Linked DNA regions of Caenorhabditis elegans. The protein of the gene in region 3 interacts with the protein of the main gene of each other region in a pairwise test. Each region holds a gene or a part of one and is shown on either strand. Other genes may lie near its edges. The genes, in order: tyr-1, gip-1, crim-1 and F48G7.10.

What was found.
Region 1: the proteins of crim-1 (region 3) and tyr-1 interact in a two-hybrid assay, tested with the Caenorhabditis elegans proteins (one large-scale study listed by BioGRID).
Region 2: the proteins of crim-1 (region 3) and gip-1 interact in a two-hybrid assay, tested with the Caenorhabditis elegans proteins (one large-scale study listed by BioGRID).
Region 4: the proteins of crim-1 (region 3) and F48G7.10 interact in a two-hybrid assay, tested with the Caenorhabditis elegans proteins (one large-scale study listed by BioGRID).

Annotation. Positions count from the first base shown.
Region 1 is NC_003281.10:7,872,258-7,877,749, reverse strand, and holds tyr-1 (Putative tyrosinase-like protein tyr-1), read right to left. Parts: upstream 3,970-5,492; 5' UTR 3,964-3,969; coding exon 3,867-3,963; intron 3,708-3,866; coding exon 3,523-3,707; intron 3,088-3,522; coding exon 3,017-3,087; intron 2,967-3,016; coding exon 2,497-2,966; intron 2,448-2,496; coding exon 2,257-2,447; intron 2,211-2,256; coding exon 2,123-2,210; intron 1,983-2,122; coding exon 1,750-1,982; intron 1,627-1,749; coding exon 1,528-1,626; intron 1,481-1,527; coding exon 1,351-1,480; intron 1,130-1,350; coding exon 888-1,129; 3' UTR 556-887; downstream 1-555. Other genes in the region: sup-18 (Iodotyrosine dehalogenase 1 homolog), read left to right, coding at 10-109, 160-342, 389-484.
Region 2 is NC_003281.10:2,345,996-2,350,592, reverse strand, and holds the start of gip-1 (Gamma tubulin complex component protein N-terminal domain-containing protein), read right to left. Parts: upstream 3,003-4,597; 5' UTR 2,999-3,002; coding exon 2,926-2,998; intron 1,957-2,925; coding exon 1,864-1,956; intron 1,815-1,863; coding exon 1,557-1,814; intron 347-1,556; coding exon 142-346; intron 1-141. Other genes in the region: phf-5 (PHD finger-like domain-containing protein 5A), read right to left, coding at 4,012-4,179.
Region 3 is NC_003283.11:10,329,105-10,333,706, forward strand, and holds the start of crim-1 (Cysteine-rich motor neuron 1 protein-like), read right to left. Parts: upstream 3,009-4,602; 5' UTR 2,941-3,008; coding exon 2,782-2,940; intron 2,084-2,781; coding exon 1,975-2,083; intron 1,733-1,974; exon of another isoform or gene 1,593-1,732; intron 150-1,592; exon of another isoform or gene 147-149; coding exon of another isoform or gene 77-146; intron 1-76.
Region 4 is NC_003283.11:633,391-636,945, forward strand, and holds F48G7.10 (Phorbol-ester/DAG-type domain-containing protein), read right to left. Parts: upstream 1,566-3,555; 5' UTR 1,504-1,565; coding exon 1,329-1,503; intron 1,084-1,328; coding exon 752-1,083; 3' UTR 511-751; downstream 1-510. Other genes in the region: pals-31 (Protein containing ALS2cr12 (ALS2CR12) signature), read left to right, coding at 3,197-3,463, 3,509-3,555.

The DNA.
Region 1 (5,492 bases), on a different chromosome or scaffold from region 3:
TCTTTCCAGAAAAGGAGCTTCTTGGGTAGTTGATGTATCACAATTACAAGACACGTGGCGGAGGCCATACATTACAGATGCTCCATATCTATTAATTGTTTGTCATGAGGTTTGATTCAAAACAATCTTAAAATCAATCCTCAAACATCTGGTTTTCAGATATTTCGTGACGTGCATAGTAAAACAGAACGGGTATTCCACTATAATCAAATAAGCACATCAATTGCTGTTGGCATCCTTTTGGCTGCAATTCAGAATGTTGGATTGAGTACTGTAGTGACGTCACCGTTGAATGCAGGACCCGATATTTCAAGAATATTGAGGAGGCCTGAGAATGAAAGTGTAAGCAGATGATAGAGTATAGTACAATCCAAGTGGTTAATTGCAGATACTACTGCTACTTCCTCTTGGTTATGCGTCAGAAGACGTGCTTGTTCCAGATCTCAAAAGAAAACCGGTCGAACATATCACCAAACTATATTGATTTTGTCATTCACTTTTCATCTCCCATGTTCCTTTCAGATTTTTTAACATTTGAAATTCATTTTTCTTAATAAAATCAGGGTTTATTTTTATTAGAAACTCGTACGATTTTTAATAGTTACACTGGTTTATATTAAGGGCAGGTTACAAGCTTTAAAAAAAGATCAAACATATTTTATTAATTTTCTTGGAAAATAAGAAAACAAATCAGGGGCAGGGGGTGTTGGAAATCAGTTTGTACAAAAACCCGGATCAACTGTGATTTCGGCAGGTGTGAAATTGTTTTGAAGAAAGTTCGGAAGGATTTTGGGAAGGAAAACGACACGTAGAGAGAATGTGATACACATTGGTTGGGTGAAAATGACAATTTTCAGTAAAGATTTTTAAAAAATTTCGAAAAGTGATTATCGTCCATAATCAAGCATAAAATCATCAACAAAGTCATCTGCATCTGGCTCAGTGAGCCAGAACTTTGCATTTCTTCGAACTCTTCTTGATTGACGAGCAACTGATGCACATAATTGAGCTTCGTTCATATTGCACCATCCACATGTTGCTTGACAATTTTCAGCCATCCATTGACGACGGCGGGTACAGAAGTTCTGTCCACGCCAGTAGGCACAAGATATGTGACGATCATGACATCCTGAACTCATTTGGTTTTATAATTACATAGGAAGTTTTCGATTATTATGATAAAACGCAAAATATTTCAAAATTGACTCAAGTAATTCCACCCAGTTGAGACTAACTATTAGAAACTAGGTTTTCATTTTAGGTAGACGGGGAGGCCTCTCTGGGAATTTCTAGATACACCTGCTCGTTGAGATTTTATAAAATATCCCATTTTTGCTACTCAAAACACACCTCTATTGTTATCATTAGACTGACACAATCCACAAGATTTCCTACAATATCTATTCATGTAAACTGTATTTGTTCGACACTCATTCTGACGAGACCACTGATTACAGCATGGATCTTCGTTGTAGCAATTCTGAAATATTAGACATTTTGCACGTGTTCCAGTGAGGATTAGCTTACAGATTGTGGGGTTGTGGCTGGTCTCTGTTGCTGTGGTTGCTGTTGCTGGGGCTGCTGCTGAGGTTGTTGAACAGTAGCCACTGCAGTGGTTTGCGCTGGCTAAAAATATTAATGTTTGAGTTTTTTTAATACGGGTATAAAAGTATATAATTGAAATTTTTATCAAGTATGGATTCATGTTCAAAAAATCTGAAACTTAAGCTACATAAAAAGTTGTCGTACCTGTTGGAACTGTTGTCCACCTCTACACCATCCAGCAACACATGTACCCATGTAACAAGAATCTAATCCTTCGAATCCACGGCACAAACCACCTGGCTTCACCTTTGCCACGCAATGTGGATTGCCACGTGTATCACAGAACAGATATTGAGATCCGCAGTTGGCATTATTACGGTTACACGTTGGACGAGGAGCATAGTGATACAAATTATCAGTGTAGGCATTCGAGAGACCTGAAGAAAATTGGAAACTTTTTACACTTTCAAATTTTTTACAAAGTTAAAAATAATCTGGAATCGTTGTTTTAGTATGCTAGTCAATTAATTCACACTTTCCAGTAGACTTTCCAGACAGCATAATAGAGCAAACTTACCATCACGATTAATTTTATCCCAAGGTCTCATTTGAGCATAACTGAAGTGTTGAGAATTGGCACAAGCGGCAATGTCTGGTGGATATTGCTGAAAATAAATCTTTTTACAGTAATTTTTCATAACTTTAACGAACATTTTCTCTTGCAAATCTATTCTGGTGATTTTGTCTCCACATTTCCCAAATAAAATCGACAAATGTGTGATGGAGGAAGAAGACTGGGTCATTTGCAGATGTTGATGGTGGTTTCATGTCTCCGCCCATCCATAAATGAATTGATGCATGAGTATACTCAAGCGCTCCAAAATAGGGACGGAATGGGCATCCTGCAATATTTCAAAATTTTAAGTAAAATTCGATAAATAAATAGATTACCTCCTTGTGGAGCAGTGAAAGCCATTACGCTAACCAAATCATTTTGTGCCATCAAATTATTAATATTTTGTTCAGTGAACATTTTCCCTTCAGTAGCCATTCTTCTAATAATATTAGGCCTTCCTTCAAGTGTTCTGAATCCAGCAAATGGACCACTAACCAATTGACCAGAAGCATCAGTCATTCCCATAAATTGTGGTCCAAACATAATAGAGTCTCTTGGATCGGGAAGATATGATTCTAGAACAGAATCCCAATATGGCATAGATATTCCTGGATCAATCATTCTAAGAGCAATTTCCATTCTTTTCATGTATTCTCTATGCCAGACAAGGAAGCCTGGACCGGAATGAGCTCCGGAGGCTGAGCCAACTTGTCGATGCATTACTGAAAGACGATCGTATTCTCCTGAACGTTTCAATTGTATTAGGGCATTGTGCCACCGTTGTCGTTCGTTATCTGACATCATTCTAAAATTTTGTTTGTAAATTTTTTGTAAATTAGATGAAATATGTAATACCTATACTCTTTTCTATATGCCATTAAGTAAGGTTGCCCATTTGGTAGGATACATCCATTTGCCATTCGTCCCTAGAATTTTTAAATTTTGTTTTATTTTTGTTTTTCAAGCATTTTGTCTTGAACATTTCTTCTTGGAAACATCTTAGATTGCCAGAAGTATAATGGCGCGAGGAATGTACGATTTAAATAGTTTAAAATGCACAGTTACTTCGCACTTGGTACAAACTTTTTGAACAAGTGGTATAAAAAATATTAACTTGATTCAGAATTTGCCAAAATTAGGTTTAAGACAAACCTAAATTTTGCCCAAGTTTGATCTAAAGAAAATTATTTAGGAACTAATTTTGACAAGAGTAAGATTAAACTTAGGTTTATCTTGAGGATAGCTTGAACGAACTTCAGCAACTTCGGAATCAAGGTAATATTTTTTGAGCCTAGACAGACTAGACAAGAAGTTGAAAACAAATGCCAAGTAGTAAAAATGAAAGTAACATTCAAACAAACCCCCATATACGGACAGATGCATGCTATATTCATGCATCCTTGAGCTGATGGAGCAAATCGTGGTGGATTTGATGGAGAAAACCCCTGAACTCCTGGAGCACCTGCATTGAATGCCTGCCGTTTTCTAATTGCCTTCCGTGCAGCACTGTCCCATTCTTGGAGCATATGGCATGTTTGGACCATGTCTGAAAATTTTTTATTCTTTGTTTTTTGAAAAGGAAAGGAATTGGTAATTGTTTTATGTTTTCTAAATTTTTTATACTTTTAAACCTAGTTGTGAGAAACATTAAGAAACTTATAAAATAGTCAATTTATTTTTTGCAAAAGTATTCTGAATACCCTACCTGAATCAGGAGCCTGTGAGCAATTAAAGTCGGCATGTACTGTGCTAATAACTGCCAGTGTGCCGGAAAACAAAAGGAAGGCACGAAGCCGACCCATTTTTGTCTGAAAAGGGATCTTTTGAGAGCATAAAATAAAAATAGATGACGAGGATGACCATGAGGAACCAAATAAAAAATCCGAACTTGGTAATGTTCTCCAAAAAATCATTTCTGGTGAAAATTTGGTTTGACCTTCTGGTAAAATGTTTAGTGATTGATTTTTATGTAAGAATGTTGACAAGGAATGAAAATAGACAACAAGAAATACAACTTGATTAAAAAATCATTATCTGTACATTTTGATATCTCAACTATATTCTACTAAAACGATTGTCCTTTCAAATAGGCTAAGCAATGTGCTACAGAAAGTTCACAACTAGAGACGGGAAGCTTTCAAAGTTAGAGAGAAAGTTGGCAACGTTAGACTGAAAGTAAACAATGTTCCACAAAAGTTTGGTAGTCGAAGTTGAAAAGTTGACAGAATGCTACTGAAAGTGCTGAAAGTAGTCCTAGATTTTTAGGTATTCATTTTAAAAAAATCTCTCAAAACCTTCTACCATGATTTGAAAAAGTGACCGAATAATTCAGAATTTCCAATTCTGACCATTGCCTCCCACTTTTCTCTTCTAGCTAAAAGTGAAAAACGAGAGTGTATACAATATTGGGAGACAGTATAAGAAATTCCATTCGAATTGACCTTCGTGCGTCTCGATTGCGTATTCTTTTTATTTACACCTTCTACCTCAAAACTACAAAAATAGCTCATTTCTCTGTCCACCCTCTCTTAATTTTGCGCTATTTTATTAAATTTTGCCGGTTTCTTTGGGATTCCTCGTTCAGATGCTAATTGTTGATTCAATTCAGTTTCGAAAGTTCACGCGTCGGAGGGGGTGGAGCCAATTGTTTGGCGAACACATGATGGTTGCGAGGAAAGATTCAAGAGAAAAAAAAAATGATAAGATCACCTCGAGAAAACCCTAAAATTTGAAGAAAAAAACGGATAGAATTCGTGAAAAGATTGACGTCAATTTGATGATTGCGCGACGATCACGGCCTAGAAACAATTACATAGAATGAGTCAGTAAATAGTCAAATGTCTAGTAGGTCAACTAGGGAAACCTTGCAGATATGAATTTCAGAATTTTTTTTTTCAGAGTTCAAAAATATTTGAAAAAGTACCGCGAGCAACTCTTAATTTTATTTAGGTCAAAAACTAGCTTTGCTATGCTATGCTCAACATTTTCTTTAAAATCTTTTCTTTTTTGGAAAAAAGATGTAAGCCTGAAGTTTAAATAGCTGTGCAAGAATGTTTTCAGACTTTTTCAGAATATTAAAAATTGAAAAAAACTTCCAGAATGATCACCTAATTATTAAGCATCCTACAAAATCAAAAACCCACAAAAAAAAAGATTTTGGAACAATTCTACATACAGGTACTGAAAAATTTCTGATCGAAATTTGAGGTGTTAACTAAAACATGACTCGTCAAGAAGGCTGAGTGTAAATTTAGAACCTTTTCTTGTTATTTTGAAGTTTTCAAGTTTTCAAGCTTAACCTGAACTATTACATACCTGAGCCTTATCATTT
Region 2 (4,597 bases), on a different chromosome or scaffold from region 3:
TTCTGAAAAATGTCGTTAGATCTGGTGTTGGCGTACTTTTAAAGCTACAGTAACCCGGAAAAAGTGTGCTAGGGGTGAAAATTAGCGGTGAATTCGGTATTTTCAACCAAATTTCCTCAAATTTTCTCGAAAATTACGCACGTAAAAAGCTGATTGCTGGCGCTAATCGGCTGAACCCTCGTAGTTGGTATTCCATTAATTGTATACGGACTCCGTGGCCGTTGAGCCATATTTCCAGCCAATTGGCGTTCCATTCCAAGCATTCGATTGTCATAGGCAGTAAATGAGGAATTGGCACGAGAACGAGACGATGAATCGGCAATTGATGGAGTTTGTTGGTCTCCGGCTGGAAAATTCACTAGTTTTATGGAAAAATTCGCCAATTTTCTGTGAATTTCCAATTAAAAAAAAATGATTTTTCATGATTTTTAAAGCGAAAATAGGCTTGAATTTGTAGTTTTTCTCAATTTCAATACATTTTTACATAGAAATTTGTAGAAAATTCGAGAAAAAACGCCAAAGTTCTAATGGGTGGCCTAAAAACTTGCAAAAAGTTAGGCCACAGTGTTTGGGGATTTGCTCAAAATTTGATTTTTGTGGAATGATTCTATGGAAAATTGCAAATCTTATTGCGAAAATAAAAATTTGAGCATAGCTTTTTGGCTCAAAATCAGCTTGGTGGCCTAGAATTCCATAAAGATCGGTCACCGAAAATTTCTTAGCTGAAACCGATTTCAACACTTAAAATCCATCAAAACCCCAAAAATATGCTAAAAATCGGGTGAAAAATGAAAATTTGGGCATAGCTTCCGCATCTCCGAGTGACAAATGTGCTCTATTGTCAAATTGTTGGCAGAAATACGGTATTTATTCACATTTTCAGCCCAATTTGAGGATGAAAATGTGAATAAATACAGTTTTTAGTGCAAACAAAAAAAAACGAGTAGAGGCACATAAGTCACAGGGGAAAATAGTTCAAAAATTTTGTGGCCTAGAAATCCAAAGAGTTCGGCCACCGAATGATTTTAAATCCAAAAACCACATAGAATTCAGTTTTTATATTCAAAATTCGATTAAAAAGCGACTCTTCGCCAAAAAAAAGCCTCAAAAATTAAAAAAAAATTAATGAAAAAAAACGCAATAATTGTTGCTTGAGAATTAGAAATTTAATAAAAAATTTCTAAAAATCCGAGTTTTCCGACTGGTGGCCTAGAAATCCAAAAAGTTCGGCCACTTAATCATGGCAAAAATTTCGTTTTTTTTTCTATTGAAAATTAATGAAAAAAAAAACTTTTTTTTTTCAATTTTCCACATTTTTGTAGGTTTTATTTCAGCATTTTTTCTCGAAAATCGAACAAAAATAAGCACAATCTTCAACTTTTAAGGAGAAAAAAAATATTTTTATAAAATTCAGGTCAAATTTGACCGAAAATGTCTAATTTTTCGAATTTTTAATGAAAATAAATGTCAATTTTCAAATAAATTATCGACTTTTCAGTGATATTTGCTCCGTTTTTTCACAATTTTTCGCGGCTAAAACCGGTAAAACACCGAACTCAGCGTGCTGAGCACCCGTCCACGACTTGCAGATCTTCTTTGAAACGGCGATGAGGATGGAATCGAATTGGTCGGGGTACCTCCAATGGATCCCAGACCAATACTCGGACTATTTCTTATTGTTTCATTATGAAATAAGTGAGCCTGTCGACATCTCACAAGAAAATCCATCATATAATTCATTTCTACCGATTCGTTCATCAGAGCATCGATTTTTTTGCGAAGCGGTTTTATTCCGTTCGGATCACGAAGTTCGCCTGGAAAACTGCCGCTTTTTTTTTTGGTTTTTTCCCTGGAATTTCATACATTTCTTAACAAATTGATCTACACATGTTCTCGAAGCGTTCACATCGTTGAGCTGACGGCTGTGGAATAGCCCTTCTTGAACTTTTATCACATCTGAAATACAGAAAATTGCAAAATTTTGATTAAAAATCCGTTTTTCTACGGAAAAATCGGCTGAAAATGGTTTTTTTTGTGCAAAAATCGCGAAAATTCACAAGTTTTTCGGCTTGAAAATGAAAATTTGGGCATAGCTTCCGCATCTCCAAGTGACAAATGTGCTCTATTGTCAAATTGTTTGCAGAAATACGGTATTTATTCACATTTTAAGCCAATTTAAGGCTAAAAATGTGAATAAATACCCGTTTTTACTGCAATCAATACGAATAGAGGCACAAGAGTCACAGGGGAAAATGTTCAGAAGTTTGGTAGCCTAGAAATCCAACAAGTTCGGCCACCAATTGATTTTAAATCCAAAAACTGACTAGAATTCGGTTTTTATAGTTGAAATTCTAATAAAAACCGATTCATCACCAAAAAACCGTCTAGAAAATTTCAAATATCTCAAAAAAAAAAAAGACTTAAAATTAAAATTTTGGTTTTAAAATTTGAATTATTCAAAATTCAAAATCCCCGTTTTTATGTAGAAAATCAAATAAAACGGTCTATTTTTAATGGGTGGCCTAGAAATCTAAAAAAAAAGTTAGGCAACCAAGAGAAAAAAAGCCGAAATTGGAGTTTCTCTAGTAAAAAACGAGATTTGAACGAAAAATTCAAAATAAAATTTTTGGCTCAGAAAATCGTGGCCTAAAAAAATCCAAGGAGTTCGGCCACCAATATATTCTTTTGATGAAAAAAATCTGAACTCTTATTATAATTTCAGGAGTTTTTCTGCAAAATGTCGTAAGATTTGGTGTACCACAGTGTTTGCGTACTTTTGGTGCTACCGTACCCCTCGAAATTCGAATATTTACTTGAAATTATTGATATTTTATGGAAAATCTCATTTTTTCGTCAGAAATTCGATTTTTCAGTCAATTTTTCGGCTTTTTCGGTGTTTTTTCTTCTAAAATTCAATCCAATTACCTCTATCATGAAACCCGAAAGCATTTAAAAATTGCTGTACAGCTTCAACTTCTTCGCTGCCTTGTCGACGCATTTATCTGAAATTTTTCCATTTTTTTTTCATAAAATTTCAAGTTTTTGGTTAATTTTCTCCAAAAAATATTCAGATTTTAGTTTTTTTTTAAACAAAAATTAAATTTCTCGCAAAATTACCCAATTTTCAGGAAGAAAAATCGATTTTTAGTGATTTTAATTCAGAAAAATTCGGGGAAAACTGAAAATTCCCGTAAAAAATAGAGATAAATATACACAAATAGGTAACAAAACCAGCACAACACAGCAAAAAAAGGGAAAAATTACAGAAAAATCGATAATTTATTCGAAAATTGATAAAAGGGTAGAGGAAAATTGGAAAAAATGGGGGAAAAAGACAATTTTTAAGGTGAAAATGAGTGAAAATATCGATTTTTCAGGCAAATTTCAGGGAAAAATTGAACATTTTGAGTGAAAAAAAGGGCTTTTTGCGGAATTTTAAGTGAAAATAGGCGAATTTTCAGCCAAATTTCAGGGAAATGGCATATTTTTAACTGAAATAAGTGACATTTTGGCTATTTTTCACGGAAATTCGAAATTTTTAGGAAAATATTGTCATTTTAAGCTAATTTTTCAATAAAATGGTAACATTTTCACAAAAATAGGCAAAAATGCCAAAATGTTGCCCAAATTTCCAGTAAAAAAGGGATGTTTTAGGGAAAAATAGTGGAAAAAATCGCGATTTCAGCAAAATTTCGATAAAAACAACGAAAAAAAAAGGCAAATTTTCACAAAAATAGGCAAAATTTGGTCAAAAATGCCAAAATTTTGACATTTTTGCTCAATTTTCAGGGAACAAAAAGGGAATTTTACGATTTCAGCCAAATTTCGATATTTCCAGCTCATTTTTAGCCAAATTTCAGTCAGATTTCAAGAAAAATAGGAATTTTCAGCGGAAAAAAGTGGAAATTAACAGAAAATTGGAACATTTTTGATAAATTAGAGGTGATATAGGTGAAAATTCGGCGAAATTTTGTGATTTTTCGCTCATTTTCGCCGCCAAAAAGCCAATTTCTACGACTTTTTCGATCCGAATTTCTTTCGTTCGTAGAACAAATCCGTCTTCGCACTTCCCAAATTCACAATTTTCGGGCATCCGTCACGATCCTTTTCGAGAATTGTGCATTCTTTGCAATAATATGCATCACTGACGCCAGCGCCACCACAAATCACACACCGACCCTGCAAAAAAAAAAATGGAAATTTTAATTTTTAGCCGAAAAAAAACATGAAAATTTCGCGTTTTTCCGATTTTTTTTTAGAAAAATTTGTAAATTTTGCCGTTTTTCACTCGTTTTTTGAGAGAAATTTCACAAAATTTTGCATTTTTCAGTCGAAAAATATGAAAATTTTTCAATTTTCCTGGTTTTTCCCCTCTTTTCTGAGTAAAAACCCGTTTTTAATGGAGAATTTGAAGAAATCCAGTCAAAAATTTGAATTTTTTAAAGAAAAAATTAGTAAAAAAAAGCTGAAAATTGCACTTTTTTGAATAGCGTTTTTCACGCGTTTTTTGAGAGAAATTTCACAAAATTTTGGATTTTCGAGCATTTTTTGCGGAAAACTGACAAATTTAGCGTTTTTTACGCCGAAAAGCTGGTAA
Region 3 (4,602 bases):
CCTTTGTCACTTATTTTGACTCTATTAATTTCTTTTTGACAATATCTGTTCAAGAAGAGAATGCCTTCTAGCACACCTGATTGCTCCGTTCGGAGAAAATTGACAAATGAGAAGAGAAGTAGAAAGACGCAGACGACTAGTTGCATTCTCGAGCTGTAAATATAGTGAGTAGGAGAAAGAGGATTAGAGCACAAAAATACACAAAAATCACATGGAAAAAAGAAAGAAGGATTTGAAAACATGAGAACATCTGATCAGGTGGACACCGAGAAGATACTTGGTGATGACTGAAGAACAAAAAAGTTGCAGATGACAGGGTCAATTTCAAGTTGGTCAAGGCATATGAACCATTTTTATGCATTTCAAAGCAAAAATCAACTGGTACACATTACGATGAAAGGCGTTTTATGGAAGTGGCAAGTTACAATATGCAGAAAAACAAAGTACAATTTATACATTATAAGCAATGGATTCGGTTTGTCTAAATTGAAACAACAGATATTACATAGTGAAACCAAATTCATTGCAGTTAATATAGAAAATAATGAAAGGCATTTTTATTTTGAAGTTTCAAACAAGTTTATTTTTATTTGTTGAAAATAATTTTTGTATATCAAATTTTTCTGATTTTTCCTTGTTATTTAAGCACAGAAATGTCGGGAATAGCCATTTTGAAATTTCAAAGTATGTACACATAATTTTTGATATATACTAAGACATTTTCAAATTCAAATGAGAAGCAGAAAGATTTGCCGATGACAAAAATAGAAAAAAAAATTTCATGAAAAGAAGCTTAACCATTACTAATCTCCAAGACACCAAGCTCTTCTTTCCGTAAAAAAATTATCGAAATGATTTACGTCGTCCCGCATATGGCCAACTCTATGCAACACTTGAAGACAAAGTAGGCGGAGTCAATTGAGGGAGACAGAGGTTAGACACTTCTCGAAACTCTGTTCTTTTTCGGTGTCGCGCAATTGGTTAGTCATTCGTTCCGTTTTTTTTTTTTGAAATTTTCTGTTTCCTATGCAATCATAATTCGAAAATTGAATTAAAGTTTGATGGCATCTTGAACGAAACAACACGGAATAGACAAATACAGGAAGGAGTACATTTTTGAACTGAAAATCCAGACAAAACCAAATGTGCTTGAGCATAAAATAATTCGAGATCAGGTTGAGACGGAAATTCTACAACAAGGCCGATCGTGGCTCGTTGTTCCATTATATTTCAGTAAAAATGTAGAAAATGTTTTAATAATCTATAAACTTTTCATTTTGAGTTAAAGGAGTTGGGAGGTGCTTAATGATGGCTTAAAATCTTCCAATTACCAAACATTGGAACAACATGCCGCAATCAAGAATTTTCTAGCTCACTCCTTTTCTAGATCTTGAAAGAAATTGATAAAAACAATTTATTTTTGAACAATCTAAGTATTTTTTAACAACATTCAAGTTTTGGTATGCTCAGAATCCTTGCAATATTTCAATTACTTGATATCCCCATTGCCTACATTGTCCGATTTTTTATCCACAACAAGATCGTTTCAATTCTCAAGTTAGTCCAACCCATTTTCTACCTTTGCAAGCCGCCCTATCTGCGGACACAACATAGAGGACTTTTTGGTTAAAAAACTGCGGGCAGAGTGAAGTAAAGTAAATAGAAATTGTATATTCGGGAGAGCAGGGTGGATTGCGTCGTCCGGCGAGCACACACGAGAAGCCTCAGCACAAGAGAACCGCCACCATTTTGAGAAGTCATTTTTTATAGGAAGAGAAAATGAAAGAGAGAGAGAGATAGAGAGACTGAGAAGAAACCCTATCAAATTTCAGCAATAAAATAAGCCCAATAGTAACTCTAGAGCACCCTTTTCTTTTTAATTAGGAAGCATTCTGGACCTCGAAAAAACAACCAAAGTTCTTTCAAATCGAATGAAACATGCAAAGGGACTTTGAAATATTGAAGAAAATATACCTTTACATCGACTTGAACCATCAAGATCGTTTTCCTGATGACATGAAAGATGCGAATCACAAACAAGACCAGGCCCGTCGCAAGTTTCACCGATTTGTCGAATGCAGACCTGCAAGTATAACTTTTTGTTTATTGTTTGAAAGCCGTTAAAAAAGACCGCACATACTTTTTTATAGACTTTTGACTTATGTTTAAGTTTATTCAGTGTATTTCTTTTTGTAGAAACAAAATTATAACTAAAACCGCGGTTTAAAAACCGAAAGTAAGATTTAAGGGACAGTTATTATCATTTGAAACTTAGAAAGTTGAACCACTTTCAAAGCAATTAGGATTATTTTTAATGTACCGTGTTTCCTCTATTAGTAAAAAAAGTACTAATTATCGGGAACCTATCTATGTGCAATTTCATTATAGGAATAAGAGGAATAAGAGCTCTAAGAGGATACACGGTATCTGAATTATGCGTTTCTATCAAACGGTTCTTCGTTTTGGTACTGATTTGACTGTGTAGCATAATACATTAAAGCTCATCTTTATTCAGTTGTTTCACTGAGCATTTGATCCTTTCATTTGTTCATTTGATCATTGTCCAATAATAATTAAGTTATTGGGGATTTATGATAATAGTTAGAATTTTAGTCATGAGAAATTGTGGAAAATTATTTCAAAAGCTCACATTCAATGTTCTGGAATTTTAAAAAGAAAATTAAAACTGAGGAACTAGAATATTAAAATTAATTTTAAAAATAAGTTTTAAAGAATTGTTAAACCATAGTTCGTTTTCTATCAAAATTTTAAATTACTCACTTCGCAGCAATCGCACTGATCCTTTTTCAATTGCTCGCATCCTGAAACATCTGGACATGAATCCTTGTCACATGTCCCGCACAATGTGGTCTTTTGGTTTTTTGCATTGGAAATGATAAGAAATGTGAAGAGTAAAATAATACTACTTGACCACTGCATTTCAACAATTCTGCATAACCGTTTTTGCCGTTCAGCGGAGAAGCCGCGTGATGAACGGCCCACAAGCTCTGCAAAGAAAAATATGAAAATTGTAGTCATGTATATAAATTTTTTGTCGATTTTTTTGGGACCATGTAACTAAGATTTCAATTCAAATGAAAAAGTAAGTAAAACGAGAAACAGAGAGACCGTCTCGTAGTGTCCCAATTTGAAATGAACTGTGTCTGTGCAGGCCCCGCCTTTGAAAATCGAACTGCGCGGGATCTTCACGACGGTAAAGCACAAGAATCAGAGAGGTTATAGACAACGAAAGTGATCCGAGTCGATCGGTGAAGAAGCTGCACTGTCAAAGAGAAAGAACACAAGCGAGCAAGCAGGGAGACGAAAAAAGGTCTGTTGACATTGGGCGAAAGACAAAATGATGAAGGTGCGCGGAGACAGAAAGATGGTAGCAGAAGCTCGTAGTATACCGAACTGGCGCCCGATGGATTAGAACACTTTGTTTTGCAATTCAATAGAAAGAAACAACAACATAATTAAGAAGAAACACTCAGTTCATTTGACAAAGGAGACCTAGTTCCGTGTTATAACATTGATAATGACTTTCATCAAAGATTCTAAGTTTATTCATGTTTACTTTAGAAACTAGAACCAGATCAAACAAAAAAAAATAGGTGGATGTTCCTATGCTACCTACTCAAAAGAACAGTTTTTACTTAACTATTTGTTTTATTCCACAGTTTTTCAAGAGAAGAGAAGTTATCTAGTTTTCAAAAATAACAAGTGATTTTATTACTGATAAAACTATTACGTCTCGTGCAAAATGTTCATTTGAAGAATTCAACTTTCAAATGATTCCGGAATTATCTTCAACGTTCACTAAAGAATTTACCGTTTGAAATGCAGAAAAAAAGAATATTGAGGAGCAGGAAACCTGGAATATTTGAAATCTGGAGAAAATGAAACCCTGAAAAACACACAGAAAACTGGTCGCTAAGCGTGTCAACCTTACAAAAAGATTACGGTACTTTCCCTATTAGCCTTGTACATTTAATGCTCTATCTTGGCAGCTCATATTTGGTTATCCTTGGTATTATCACAAATTTTGTCAATACTAAAATATCAAAAAGTAATTGGCACCAAATTTATGTGCTACATTTTTAAGCCGAAGAAAACCTAGAAATAGTTTCTTAAAGTATATCAATAAGGGTAGTGCTATATTTTGTGGTATTCTATTGAGAAGTTTCCAATTAATTAGGAAGACATGCCAATCAGCCGAATGATCGAAGAGCATTCAAATCGTATTAAATTTGAAATAATACTTCTTTAACTTTAAAAAAGTACACAATGTTCCACAAAAAACGATTCTTATGAAAACTCAATAAAAATCGCCTGGTTTAGGCCATAGTAAATTTTTTATGTGTTCAAAATGCTCTTATCAACTTGAGTGAACGAGGACAAGAAAATAGACAAAAAACGAGTCGATGAGAGATGGAAAAGGAAACATTGAAACCATTTAGATTATGCGGGTCTAGACGGGAAAAGGTAAAAAAACGTCTCATGGAGGTCTCATTGAAATACATGCTGCCTCAAATAAGAAACCGGTAAGGAACGGTGTGATAAAAGATAGAAAATGAGATGAATGTATGGTAAAGAAGGAGA
Region 4 (3,555 bases), 9.7 Mb from region 3:
TAATGGTCGGCGAGGGGAAGTGTATGAATATTAATGATTTCGACGTTGATATTTCCTTCTGCACACACCACTCAATGGATCAGTTGAAGCCGTGAGTAATTTTGGTTGAGCTAATTGTAAATTTTTAAATTCAGATTTCTCCTTGCCGGGATCAGTAGTTGGACGGCTATTATAGATGCTCTGATTCTATTGGTACCAACAAATGTTGAGCTCAACTACATGTTTATTCAACTGTGCTTAAAGCCTATGCTAAGAAAAGTTGAAGGCCAGGACCTGGAAATCATTGAAAAAATACTTCAAGTTCAAGCAGACAATCTCCATAACTACTACATGAACAGAATGCGAACCCCTCACTATTCGGACCGCTTGACGAAAATGATGAAAATTGTTCGATTGCTGGAAGCCCACATTCGGGAGCTGAAAGAAAAAGCTCACATTGCAAAAGTGTTTGACGTATTTTCAATCGAGTTCTCGCATCCGGAAATGTTTGAATACTTTTAATGTGTTTATACAAGTATTTATCTCACGGGTAAACTTTCTAGTCTTATAAAAATATTGAAAATTCATTTTTTTTTGTTATGGAGAAGAAGAAAAATAATGAAAGAAAAAGAGATCAGGGTGGTAAGAATCAGCGTGAAATGTGTTTTCTAGGCAGGCAAAAAACGCCTACCTATGTGCCTTATAGGAACATATTTCGGCATTTTTATGCTGCCTAGAAGGTATTTTTAGATATCATAAAAACTTATTTGAATTATTGGCTTGAAACAATACAATTGTGAACCGCCTTCTCCTTACAACGATGGTGCACATTTGCCAAACAATCCGAGCATTGAACGCCTTGCTTGGAGAGCCCGTAGAGCAGGCTTCCACAGTGATCACAGAACGTTGGTCGGGTGTAGAAATGCTTGTTGAAGTGATGATTGGTGGAGACTTGGGGCTCAGTGGGCGATGGGATCCTGTGCCGAAGCTCTCCAGAATCACTGGAAAGCTCTTGTGGAGGTGGCTGGCGGGGAGATGATGGGCCGAAGTTGCAACGATCGTTTATTAAGGAATGGCAGCGTTTGTGAACAACAGTTTCACAGCCTGAAAATTAAAAATGACTTTAGTATGTACATATGCCCAGTTTTTAGCATCCGACACAGATACATACAGGCCCCGGTGAGAAGCTTAACGTAAGTCTTAAGTCTTGTTCTACTCTTGCCCGAGTTCAAAACGCCACAAGGGAATTTAAGGTCTAAATTCACAGCTGGGTCAGACTCGAATTAATTTTTCAGGGCTTAATAAATTTTCCAAAATTTAAGGAATTGTATTAAATTCAAAAAACTTACCCAAACACCTGTAGCCTTGTTTTCCGAGTCCGTAGATCAACTTGGAGCAAATTGCACAGCAGGTTGGCTGAACAAGAGCCGTGGCCTTGAACCTGTGCCCGGAAATTTCGTGGATTTTTGATCCATCCAATTGACGATCAATGAATGGATTTTCAAATTGTGGCTCGGTGGACATTGTTGGTACGGGTAGACGTGAATGAGCGAAAAACTGCTGTAGATTCAGTTGAAAATCCCGATACTCTATTTATATCTGACTCTGAGGCGCCGCCTACTTTTTGCTTGTTTGTTGTCTGCGCTCTCCACGTTCTCTAATGGTTCTTTACAACGTAGGGACGAAAAAAAAACAAGTTCAATTGGTGAAGTATGGGAAAAATGTTTGAAATAGTTCATATGAACTCAAAATAAGAATTTATGATAGGGAAATCTTTCCAAAACAAATTTGAAATTTTTTTGTGCAGTCAAAAGTGGTGAAAACTCAAAGTGGTCACACAATTGCAATCTAACAAAATATTGACAGGAAATTGTTAAAATCTAAATCTTTTGGGTTCTTTTTCTTTGAAGATTTTTCACTATTAGGGCTAAACTTTTTCAAAATAAAGAAACATCAGAGTATGAAAATTTCACAAAGAAAACAAATTGTATTAAATTTGTATTAAAAAAAATTTCTTCAAAAAATTTGAGGATACATTAGTAGCTGATTTTCAACAACTTATTGAAAAATTTATATTGAAATGTAGGAAAATGTGAGTTGAATTTAAAAATTATTTTTATCGTTAAAAAGTTTATTATAAAATAATCAAATATAATAGTTGCGTTATTAGCCGAAAAAAATATACGGCATTTTCAATGCAAACGGTAATTTCCTTTCTCTTATGAGGTTTTTATAAATTTTCAGCAAAAATTGCATTTTGAGATTGATTCTGAAATGCAAGTTTTTGTACTTTTGCTAACGATTTACACATCAGCCCAGACCAAAAATTACTGTCAGTTTTAAGATGGTACTATTAATAAAAACCGTGCGATTAAACTGTCTAACCAATTTTCCAACACTGTTTTCTTCCCACGAGACGAGTGTCTCCGTGTACGCGGCCGACACAAAAAGCGTGTCGAATACGCATTTTGTGACCTCGCTGGACACGCAGAGTGTGAGAGACCCGTCATATGTTAGACGTATTGTGAAAAATAATCAAATTTTTTGATACGATGAATTACATCTAATTTGGATTCACTGGTATCTCGCACTTTAAGGTTCAATAATGGATTCTAAAAAATCTAAATGAAGAGGGTTGCTAACAATTATTGTTTCCGGAAAACACTAACCATTTCTTTAAAAAAAATCACTCATAGGCTTTATAAACTTTTTTTCAGAAAAAAAACATTTATGTAATGGTCAAAAAATTTCCGAAAATCACCAAGTTACTACAAGGGTAAATTTCAGAAGTTAACAGAGTTGCCGATCAACGGTGTCATTTTTCGAGTTTTAGCTTTGAAAAATCGTAAAACCGACACTCTCGTTTCCAATTGCCAAAAATGTCCAAATCAGACAGTTTCAAAAATTTTCTAAAATTCCTATGATTGTGGTTTTCTAAAATTCCTATGATTGTGGTTTTCTAAAATTCCTATGATTGTGCCTGGAAATGAAGAATTATCAAATTGAATTTCTCTTTGCACGCATGGAGGACACAAAAAACCGATTCTCATTCCCAATTCTATTGCTCATCTCTAATTCTCTACCTCCCTAGTGTTCTTCGGCAACATTGAACATTGAACAAACAATTTTTTCGTCTTATCAAAACTGTTTCGGATTTTCATAAAATTTACCCTTCCTCTAATGTTAGTATACTTCTTATTTTTTGAATTACAGAAAAATGAATGGGTGCCAAACTAGTTCTAACGATATTTGTCAAGAGTGTGATGTATCCGAAATTGGACAACGCTCCTCAAATTGCCAAATTGCTTCGATCAGAGCCAACGAGGAAATTTTACTGCGAGCAATACAGTTGGAGGATCAGAGAATTAATGATTCGAAGAAATACTTATTTTCGACGCATACCAGAGAAGTGATTCAAAAATTCCACAAGACTTTTGAGCCGCTGGATGACGTTCTGAGAAACTTAAACGAGATTTATATAAAAGTGAGTTGTATCAGACAAAATGCAAATTTAAGTCATTCCTTGCAGTGTATACCTGAAGCTGGTTTTTTCCCAGAAGTTAAAAAAGGTGTTGT